3 linked regions of the Canis lupus familiaris genome follow. The protein of the gene in region 1 interacts with the protein of each later gene in a biochemical or structural test. Links are inferred from orthologs where the notes say so. Each region holds a gene or a part of one and is shown on either strand. Other genes may lie near its edges.

What was found. The genes of interacting proteins can lie anywhere in the genome.
Region 2: the proteins of CDC5L (region 1) and PLRG1 form a complex in vitro, tested with the Homo sapiens proteins (3 studies listed by BioGRID, with this or other methods). The link is inferred for Canis lupus familiaris from reciprocal best matches to the Homo sapiens genes CDC5L and PLRG1.
Region 3: the proteins of CDC5L (region 1) and PRPF19 form a complex in vitro, tested with the Homo sapiens proteins (2 studies listed by BioGRID, with this or other methods). The link is inferred for Canis lupus familiaris from reciprocal best matches to the Homo sapiens genes CDC5L and PRPF19.

The regions. Positions count from the first base shown.
Region 1 is NC_049233.1:12,972,132-12,976,290, forward strand, and holds the start of CDC5L (cell division cycle 5-like protein), read left to right. Parts: upstream 1-1,323; 5' UTR 1,324-1,460; coding exon 1,461-1,505; intron 1,506-3,815; coding exon 3,816-3,919; intron 3,920-4,159.
Region 2 is NC_049236.1:52,564,237-52,567,802, forward strand, and holds part of PLRG1 (pleiotropic regulator 1), read right to left. Parts: intron 2,908-3,566; coding exon 2,806-2,907; intron 1,812-2,805; coding exon 1,719-1,811; intron 1-1,718. UniProt on the Homo sapiens protein: Involved in pre-mRNA splicing as component of the spliceosome. Component of the PRP19-CDC5L complex that forms an integral part of the spliceosome and is required for activating pre-mRNA splicing.
Region 3 is NC_049239.1:56,005,963-56,009,343, forward strand, and holds the end of PRPF19 (pre-mRNA-processing factor 19), read left to right. Parts: coding exon 1-30; intron 31-336; coding exon 337-507; intron 508-630; coding exon 631-736; intron 737-2,346; coding exon 2,347-2,444; 3' UTR 2,445-2,865; downstream 2,866-3,381. UniProt on the Homo sapiens protein: Ubiquitin-protein ligase which is a core component of several complexes mainly involved pre-mRNA splicing and DNA repair. Required for pre-mRNA splicing as component of the spliceosome.

The sequences.
Region 1 (4,159 bases):
ATGCTCCAAGGGGGCACGATTTACATCCTAGACATGGTGGATCTCACTTTCTTGTAGTATATCTCTTGTTTCCAAAACATCAGTATTTTGTGACAATTTCCCAGCAAGTGGGAATAAAGCTCCTTGGAGAAGCACCGTTTTCCCGTTGGTACAGAGGTTTACATAGAGGGTAAAAGGTGGTCCTGAGAGGGAAGGAGAAGCCATCATCATGCACCCTTGTAATGTTAGATCTAGAAATGGCTCTTGAGAGAGGACCGGTGTAATTCTGATTTATTAGGAATCTTGCTTACAAATAATAAAAAACCGGGATCCCTGGGTGGCGCAGCGGTTTGGGGCCTGCCTTTGGCCCAGGGCGCGATCCTGGAGACCCGGGATCGAATCCCACGTCGGGCTCCCTGCATGGAGCCTGCTTCTCCCTCTGCCTGTGTCTCTGCCTCTCTCTCTCTCTCTCTCTGTGCCTATCATTAAAAAAAAAAAAAAAAAGGAAAAAAATAATAAAAAACCAACTCCAAAATGGCTAACTTTTCAGATGAGGATACTGAGATTCAGCAAGGTTATTACCCAAGCTGATGAGAGAGCCAAGATTTCAATCCGATCCGAGTTTGTCTGAATACCAGTGCCTGCCAACGGTAACTCTTCATTATCAATCCACATGGACTGAATAGCGATGTACGAAAAACACTGACAAGATAGTTTTGCAGGTTTCTGGGATAATCACCGGTCATCTGGGGTCGTCCTTCTTATAACAACAGCTGCCACTTTTGGGGGGCAGTAATGTCTCAGACACTGGACTGGCGAGGTTTATGATCTCATTTAATCCTTAGGACAGCCCTATGAGGTTGCTATACTAGTATCTCTATTTTACAGATTAAAAAGCTTAGGCTTAAGCTAGTTCCTTTTCCCGAGTATTCTGCGAATAAAGTCCTATTCGTTAAATGCCTAGTAAAGCGCTAACTTAATAAATGAAAAAAAAAAAAAAAAAAACAAACAATAAACGAACAAAGCTCTTCCTAGAACACCTGGGCTATTTCTGCACCCGTGATGTTCCCTCTCTTCGCCACTAGGTGACGTCACGATCAATCCCACCGCCACCTTCCCTGCGAAGAGCCGCCCGCGATATCTCGCGAGAGCCGTGCTTTCCTCCAACCTGTTTTGGACATGCGCGCGGCGTGGGGGCGCTTTAGTGGAGGGGTTGGACGGCGTTCCGTCGGTCTTTCCAGGCTGGAGCTCTAGCGAGGCGCTCGTTCCTTTCAGTAACCGCATTCTCGCGAGACTTGCTACACCGCTCCCCCTATCCGCACCCCCCCCCCCCCCCCACCCCGCCTTGCGCCTGCGCAGATCTCTTCAAACCAGAAGGTCGCGCTTGGAGGAAGTGGCGGCTTTAGGTCCCGTGGCCGCAGCGCCGTTACTACTTCTGTGAAGCTCCTCTCGGCCGCTTGCCGAGACACCCCGCAGCCAAGATGCCTCGAATTATGATCAAGGGGGGCGTGTGGAGGAATACCGAGGTAAGTCCCCTTTTCCCGCCGTCCGCTGCCCTCCGCCCCCTTCGGCAGTTTGTGCGCAGGCGCGCGGCGGTCCAGGAGGCGAGGAGGATGCCCTGCGGGGTCTGCGTGGGGACGGGGCCCGCGGGGCCGCCCCTCGGGGTCCTCGTCGGCTGTCCGGCCCTGCGCCGCCTGAGCGCCCCGAGGACGGGGACTGTGATTTAACCACTTGACGTGCGAGGCACTTGTTAGGCCCTTAGTGAATGTTTTTGTCGAATTGAGGACGCGCCCCAGCCCTGGAGGAGCTCGCCGCGTGCAGGGGGCGGGGTAGGACCTCCGCGAGAGCTGGTCCTCCGTCCCTCCGTCCTCCCGCACGGCCCCGGCACCGTGCCGCTCTGACAACTCACGTAAAGGGAAGTGCTGTGGCCACAACTTCATGGACTTCCTTGCAGGGGCTTGGGGCAGCCTGAGTGCCAAGTTCAGAGCCCGTTTGCGCCCGCAGCTCTCTGGTTACCTGTTCCTAAGGCATGACTTGTGCGTCCTCACGACGGATCCCCAGGCCTGTGCCTTCCTGTCGCTCCGCCTCAGCTAGGATAAGAAGCCAGAGAGGACAAACTGCCCGCAGTAGTTATTTGCTTCCAGGACTGCAGCGGATGATGCTGATGGCTAGCCGAAGGGCGGTAGGGAAGGAGTAAAATAACGAACAGGATTTCGGTGCAGTTTGTGTCCAGCGTGCGCTGGATTTGTCAGTTTCCTGAGCACATCGTATCTTTTCAGGCATCGTGTCTTTTTACTTCTCGTGCCTTCTTGAAATGTCCTCCTGCTGCTTGACGTGTTTCTAACTATCCTTCAGGGCCAGTTCAGAAACTATTGGAATTTTTGCCCAATCACTCTGTAAAAATGAGTTACACCCCCCGTCGTCCCATGGCACCTCCTTCATCCACTTGGTATAGAATGGTTTGCCTTTTTGCAAGCATCACAGTCTTCTGTGTGATGCTGATAAATTTCTTAAGCTCTCAGAGCCTCAGTTTTCTGATGGGAATAAGAATTATTTTGAAGATGAAACGAGTCAACATATAGAGCAATCTGGCACACAGTAGTCTTTCAGTTAGGTGCTAGTTGATAACTGCTAGCTGATACTGCTTTCCCCCAGGAAACAGCGCTGCAAGAGGACCCCTAGAACCTAGGATAGTAACCAACATGAAATAGATTGTTTGGCAAGAGATGAATCTAGTAGGGTGGGTAACTGCTGTATGCACTCCGTTGAAGATGTGTTTAAGTCTAGCAGTATTGTAACAAAGTTACACATAGTGACAACCTTGTCTCACAGCTTGCACGGAGGGAACCAGGCTGTTTAAATTGGAAGAGAGATGACTTCTGGGGGAGAGACAGATGTACAAAATCAAATAACAGCAGGATTCCTGTAGAGTGGCCAAAGCCCTGCAGTCTTTAAAAATCTCTGATGATGGGGGGTGGGGGGGAGTGTGGGGTGTGTGTGGAATGGGGTGGAATGGAATGGCTCCTGTATGAGGCATGTATCTAAAGTTCAGTGTGGAAAAAAGCCTCAAGTTAAATGCCCCAAGTGCACACTATTCTTGGTGTCTGTGGCTTACCTTTCTGGACTCCCCTGGAATTGGTGAATTCCATATCAGAATGGGTGCCCTGATGAAACAGGAACTAGAGCCTGGAGGAAGAGCTGACTGGTGCAGCAGGGAAGAAATACTTAATTCTTAGGTTAGACCTGAAATGTGGACTTTTGGGTCGAAGCAGGGGTTATGGGACTGGAGAGAAAATGACCTTTGTAAATTGGAGTGGAGAATGGATTCACCGGAGTCTTGACTTGCTTCTTGAGGGCTGGATGAGGTCTATTTCATTCTCTTTTCCTCAGTATACAAGTCCTGGTGCAAGGTAGGTGTTCAATAAATGTTTTTTGAATGAATGAATAAATGATTGAGCTGTATCCTTTTGAGGATGATGACACCCAAACACAGGCGTGTACTTTTTGTTAATCACTGCCAAGTAGGGTTTCTCACATTGGGCTGTACTCCTAGTTTATTGGGTTGGGGATGGGGTTGTGTATAAAGAGGGGTAGGATGTCCTTCTGAGGGATTTCTTCTGAAGTTTTTGCATTTTGCCAATTCTAGCTTGTTTATTATTATAATAAATGAAGTTTTGTACCTTTTCCCCCCAAAACCTAGGGGGTGTGTGTGTGTGTGTGTGTTTATGACTTTCTCTTTCTCCCTAGCAATACTGTCAGAGTTAATTTAAATTTTGTCTTTTCTCACTTGGAATTTTATGATTGAATATATTGTTTTTCTTTGACAATTTTTTTAGGATGAAATTCTGAAAGCAGCAGTAATGAAATATGGAAAAAACCAGTGGTCTAGGATTGCCTCATTGCTGCATAGAAAATCAGCAAAGCAGTGCAAAGCCAGATGGTATGTACCACTTAATGAGTGGAAAACAGAAAGCGACCTTAATTATGATGAGGAAAATGTCAGTTCTTTGAACCTTGCCAAAGAAAGCAGGCAATGTGATATAACAGAAAGTATGGTGTGGGAGATGGGAATTTAGATTTAAGCCTTAGCTGTCACTTGCTTCCTGTGTGATCTTAGACAAGCCATTTTTCTATCTCCTCTTTCCTGTCCCCAATTGGGGATAGTAATACTTGGCCCTAA
Region 2 (3,566 bases), on another chromosome or scaffold:
AACAAAAATAAAAACCAGGCTCACAGATACAGAGAACAGATCAGTGGTTACCAGAGGTGGGGGGTGGGAGTGGGGGAAATGAGTTAAGAGAGTCAAAAGTGCAAAGTTCCAGTTATGAAACAGGTAAGTCACGGAGATATAATGTTCAGCCTGGCAACTACAGTTAATACTACTGTACTCAACATCTAAAAATTCTCACTATAAGGAAAAAATTCTGCAACTATGTATGGTCATAGATGTTAACTAGATTTATTGTGATTTCACAATATACCAATATATTGTATCATTACATTGTATATTAAAACTAATAATATTGTATATCAATTATACCTCAATAAAAAATATATACATGTTGAAAAAACTTAACAGCTTTACTAGGAATCCCACTATAAATTTTTTTTGTGCGGTTTTTACAAGATTAGGTAACCATTTCTGCTTAACGTTAGTAGATAGATATTTTATTTATTTATTTATTCATTCATTCATTTATTTATTTTATTTATTCTTGAGAGACAGAGAGAGGCAGAGACACAGGCAGAGGGAGAAGCAGGCTCCCCATGCAGGGAGCCTGATGTGGGACTCGATCCCGGATCTCTAGGATTACACCCCAGCCTGAAGACAGCGCTAAATGCTGAGCCACCCAGGGATCCCCACAGATATTTTTAAAGATACACAATCAGTGTGTTAAAAAAGGATCCTGTAATACACTGCAAATATCAAGTCACCCATTTTGGAAAATATTTGTACTTTGGGTGTCAATTACAAAAATCTTGGACCCATTAATTCCATTACTGGGGATCTGTCCAACAAAATCATTTAAAATATGGCAAAAAGCTTTAGGCACAAAAATTATATAGCATTACTTGTGATAGTGAACACCAAGAAACTAAAAACTCTGATGTCTACCAATAGGAAAATAGATTATAGAATATCTGATAGATTGTGAAACCATTTAAAAAGATGTCCATTTCTTCACAAAAATATGCCTCTTATATGTTAAGTGGAAAAAAAGCAGAGTACAAAACTATGTAACACTCAAGAATTTTTATTTATGTATTTTTTTTTTAAGATTTGAGAGAGTGCACATGTGCATGGGGATGAGGGGTGGTGGGGAGGACAGCAAAAGGAGGAGGAGGGAGCCTTAAGCAGGTACGGCGCTGAGTGCAGAGCCCGATGCAGGGCCTGATCTCATAACCCTGAGATCACAACCTGAGCTGAAGCCAAGAATCAGTTGCTTAACTGACTGTACCATCCAGACACCCCCATCATGATTTTTTAAAGATACACATTTATACACACAGGAAGAAAGCTCAGAAGGAAATGTAGTGACACATATGCATGGAAGTAAGTACTAAAAAGAAATTCGTTCAAATTATCTGACAGTGTTCAATTACATATGGGTCTGTATTCTTTTGTACTTCTCTATATTTTCCTCATTTTTTATATATGAGTAAGCTTTAAGTTTGTAACCAGAGGAGAAAAAAATATCAAGAAATTAGTGGTAGTCGGTATGTTTGGTTTGGAAAAGCCTGTTATTTAAATACCACTTTCCAAACATATTTAATTGGAACACTGAATTGATAAAGATAATAAATTTTACTCCATACTCAGGTCTCAGAAATCAGAGAAACTACAACAGCAATTCCCACCTCAGAAATAAAAGATTAAAATCACGTAGTAAATACAAAGTCGTATTTTTTCTTCCTCCTTCCTATTACCTTTATAGTTCTGTCAGCAGATCCAGTTACAAACCACTGATTTCCAGGTTCCACAGCAATACAGCGAACCCAGCCAAGATGTCCACTGATCACCTGTATAAAACAAAACATAGAATGGGTGGACTCATTACACTAGTTTGTTCAACTTCAACTCATTACATATAAGTCAAGTTTGAAGAGCCCCTCCTCATATCTTCAAATACATTTATAAAATTATTTGACACTTAGATTTTAAAATTATAAATTACCTTCAATCACAGTAAATACATATACAAGCTATGATATACCTATACAATGGAATATTTACTCAGCAAATAAGAGGAATATATTAATACAACTTGGAGGGCCCTCAAAGGCATTAAGCTGAGGAAGGAAGTCAGTATTAAAATGTATATACTGTATAATTCCATTACATAACAAAATTGAAAAAAACCCCACAAAAATAGTATGAAAAACAAACGAACAGCTGCCAGGGGTAGGGAAAGTTAGAAGTATAAAATAATAGCACAGGAGTGTTTTTTGAGCTGACGGAACTTCTTTATACTGAGTGTATAAAGAAGTAATTACCCAAATTTATACATCTATTAAAATTTATTAGGTCGGTATACCAAAAGAAAGTCTACTTTAGTGTATAATTAGAAAACTAAAATTTAATACATATATTTAATTATGTGTAGCTATAGTTTTCCTACTACATACATTTCATTTTAGATCTGGTATGTTTTGAATCACTTTAATTTACTATAATTAAAAAGATAATCAGTAGGGCTAAAGAAATAGCATTATATGTTATTTTTCCTCCTGGGATTCGTATTAAACACTTCAAACACGTAGAAAAATTATTTTATCTGTTCTCCATGTTTAATAGCTTTCTGTAAATATTTTATATAGGAAACACACACATAGCTTTTACTTAAAGAAGTCTTCACGTCTTTTAAGACTGCCTGATACCTTCCCCCCAACCCATCTCAGATCACTTTATCAGTTCTCATATTCAATCCTTTTCCTCCTGATTCTATTCCTTGGCTCTTAGTAACTGGAAAGCAATCATCATTCCTGTAGTGGAATAATATACAGATTCACTCACCCTGTAGAGTTTCCATGGTGGGTGCCACTGGGGTTTGGGCATGGTAGGGGCTTTTTTAGCCATCAGTGCAGAGTTCTTAGCGTTGCCAGCCTCCATAACTGCCTACAAATAGAACAGATTATGTTACTGTTAAAGGCATCATACCTAACTCTGTGTGTTAATTCTAAAAAGAAAAACTCAAAAAAGGGGATTTATGAGGGTTTTTTTTTTTCCTTAATTGAAGAGGAAAAGACAGTTAAAATGTTTGAATCACTAGAAAATGTTTGCATAACTAAGACTTCTAATCAGAACTGTTATTTTCTGTATGTTAACTTTAATTTTAGAAATAAAAAAAAATCTCAGAGGCTAAACAGTACATAACATAACATTATGCATGGGTTCAAAAGAGCACATAACATTGTGTATGGGTTCATAAACCCTGCTCTGCTAATTACTAGCTGACTGGTAAAAACTTACATAACCTCTGTGCTTGCTTTGTAAAATGGAAATAACACTGCCTACCTCAGACAATTACTGTAAAAATATTGTTACACTCTGTAAATGCTTTATGTAAGCTCCTATTATTATTTGAGTGATTTTAAGTGGATTGTCACTGCCTTTCATTGTTGTATTTTAACATTATCTCAACTTAATAGCAAAAAGAGAAACTAATTAGCTTCCAAAAAAATATTTAATACTTTCATTTATTATTAAAATTCAATTAATTAACATACGGTATATTACTCAGAGGCAGAGTTCAGTGATTTATCAGTTGTATACAG
Region 3 (3,381 bases), on another chromosome or scaffold:
GACTCACAGATCAAGATCTGGGACTTGAAGGTAGGACATGGGAGCCTCCACCTAAGGCCCAGGCTCTGAGTTCTTGACTATGCAGTGTGATTATGTGCTGACGGCACCTGGCCCTGGGGCTGTCACAAGGGTAGAGAGACCGTGGCGCTGTGTGTGTGTGACGTGATAGGTGTGGTCCGGGGTTCTTGGGCTGGGCCATCTGCTTCCGCTGTTCCTGCTAGTTGACCTTTCATAAAGGCTGGAGGAGGATGGCTCAGAGGTAGGTTTTTGGTGAACGCCATCTTCTCCCCCTCATGACCAGTGGATGACGTTGTGCTATCCATCCTCAAACTGCAGGAGCGCACCAATGTGGCCAACTTCCCCGGCCACTCGGGCCCCATCACCAGCATTGCCTTCTCAGAGAATGGCTACTACTTGGCTACAGCGGCTGATGACTCCTCTGTCAAGCTCTGGGATCTGCGCAAGCTTAAAAACTTCAAGACGCTGCAGCTGGATAACAACTTTGAGGTATGCCCCTCCCTCCCCTGCTGCTCTTCATTTGTACTCATCGAATCATCTGAGCTGCCTCTGTTGATCTCTGACTGCCTCGTAGTTTCTGTTCTCATGTGACCTCTCTCCTGGTTCCAACAGGTGAAGTCACTGATCTTTGACCAGAGCGGCACCTACCTGGCCCTTGGGGGCACGGATGTCCAGATCTACATCTGCAAGCAGTGGACAGAGATTCTTCATTTCACAGGTAGGGTCTGGACTCCGGGATCCCCAGGTCCTGGATGCCCTGGTGCAGAGCAAAGAGGGCAAATACCACTGGGCTGGGAATTTCTAGGGGCAGGCGTGAGTTTGCTTGGGCAGCTTTTCATCACTACCTGAGGCAACTGAGTTGAGTGACTAAGAAAATGAACTCAAAAATCATACTGCTGAGCATTAAATCCTAGCTCTACCACTTCAGGTCCTCTTCAGGTTGTGTGACATTGGACAGGTTACCTAGTCTCTCTGGGGAATGCTAATAGTGCATATTCCATGCGGTGCCAAGGAGGTTTAGATGAGTTTATGTATACACAAAGTCCTCTGTTTAGTGTGTATACATGTAACCTGAGGAAGTAGCTGTGTATATGCGTGTGTACAAACACATACGTAAATAGGACAGCGCCTGGCACATATTAGGGATTTGCCCTTATTCAGCATTGCATCATTCCTGTGGGATTGGAGCCATGACTGAGATCTAGGCCTTGCACTAATGGAATTTCCAATCAGCCTAGAGGAGCAGATGTGAGACAGGTTTACAAATAATCATTTAATTGTTGTGAATGCTGGAGAAGAAAAGTAGAAGGGGTGGCACAGTGGGTGATAGGACTGCTAACCTAATAGCTGTGTGGTCCTGGGTACCTCAGTTTCCCTCTGAGAGCTGTAGCTTCTTCCTTTTTTTTTAACGGTCACATTGATACTGCTTTGCAGATTGTGCCAGTTGGTGACATAGACGTGGCACGCACAGGGACAGTGTGCCTGTTGCACGCTGGAGAGCTAAGCAGACGGCAGCTGTTGGCTGTCTCTGTTGATGAAATTCTCATCCTCATTAGCAGGTTGTGGGCGGGGCCCAGGATGCTTCTCCTGCCCCCACATTCTGCTGAGCCCTGCTCAGTTTGTATGCTGCAGGGGTGTCCAGGCCTAACCGTGACCTTCACTGGGCTCCGGTGTTTTGGAGTTGAGCGAGGCGGGGTAGTGGGCTGGAAGCACAGCCTGGGTTCTGTAGTCGGGGCCCCAGGTGTTATCCTAAACCTAGAAGGAATTTGCTTTGCTGCTTGTGACTACCGGAATCCAGGAAGGTGTGTCACCCAGCCTCTTGTGCCCTCAGCCCACCCCTGCCCTACCCTGTGCCCTAGGTCGGAACCCGTGAGCTAGAACTTATTGACAGACTGTCTCACTTATAAGAAAGGAGGTAGAAATAAATACATATAATAGCATTGAGGTTTTAGATTGAACAGAAAACTCAGCTAAGTTTTTAAAAATAAGGTGAGAAGTGGAAGAATGAGACTATGTCTGCTTGGTCTGTCGCTCTCTCTGCCAGCTCCCAGTGGGTTCTAGTAGCACTTGAACTGAGCAGAATTGCAGCAGCCCCAAAAGCTCAGATGAGGGGCAAAGCTCAGGTGAGGGGCGCTGACATTCCTCTGTTCACTCAGCCCACAACAAGAACTCGAGTGCCTACTGTGTGCCGGGAACTGAGTAAGGCCCAGGGCACAGGTGGTGTGTAGGCCAGACTAGCACCCTGCCCTCGGGGGTATCGGGGTGACTAGGAAACACTGAGCACTGACCCGGGGAAGCCTCACCACTGCCTCTTGTCTCTCTCCTCAGAGCATAGTGGCCTGACCACAGGGGTGGCCTTTGGGCACCACGCCAAGTTCATCGCTTCAACGGGCATGGACAGGAGCCTCAAGTTCTACAGCCTGTAGACCCTGGCCCTGCGGATCTGGGAGCTGGGCCTCATCTCAGTAGAGGGGTAGAATTAGGGTGGGGGGAGCGGGGAGGAAGGGGAGAGACTATTGGGGGAGGGGGGGTCTCTGGGGCGGGGCATTCACATCATTTCACTCTGGTCTGGGTGGTGACCTGAGAGCCATGGCGGCGGGGACCACCCTCATCCATGCCACCTCCAGCCTGACAGGAAGGATCACGGGAGGTAGAACTGTCACCCTGTGAAGGCTCTGGTTGGAGCCCAGGGCCTCTCCCCTCATGGTGTTCATTGAGTTGCTTCAGTTCCTGGGAGATGGGGAGAGGCTAAGCCAAGGGAAGTGTGAAGGGGATGGGCGTGAGGGCTCTTGCAGGTTTTTGTAAGCAGTGATTTAGTTTCATTAAAAAAAGAAAACAATAAATGTAGCACTTTCCTGTGTGTGTCTCTAAAGGGAGCCCCAAGCTGGGAAGGTCAGGGGGAGGGAGCACATTTGCTAGAAAGACTTTTCATGTCCCTGCAGGCCTTGACCTTGTGTTTCTAGGGTCTTAAGGGTCTCACTCGTGCCACCACTTCCTTGTGGGTTTGGCTTCTACAGCAACTGAGAGCAACTGAGACAAGAGGGAGAAGTGAGGGAAGAATAGCTTTTTCTTGCCCATGAGGAAGTGTGAACATATCAGCAAGGACTCTAATGCTGTGGGTGCTACAGAACCTGCCCCAAGCCAACCCAAAAGATTTTTCAAACTAGCTTTTGAATATGGAAGGAGAGCTGGTTCCAGGGAAGACAGCCAGAAGAGTAAATGAACATAGAAGATCAGATATCAAATGCCTCTTGGAGTGAAAGTAGGGCTCCTTGGCTGCTGCAGCTGGGGTGGCTTCTTTCATGTGATAACGAAGCTGAAGTCTTAGTGCTCTGGAGCTGAAATGGAGGAGGGGTCTTGCTG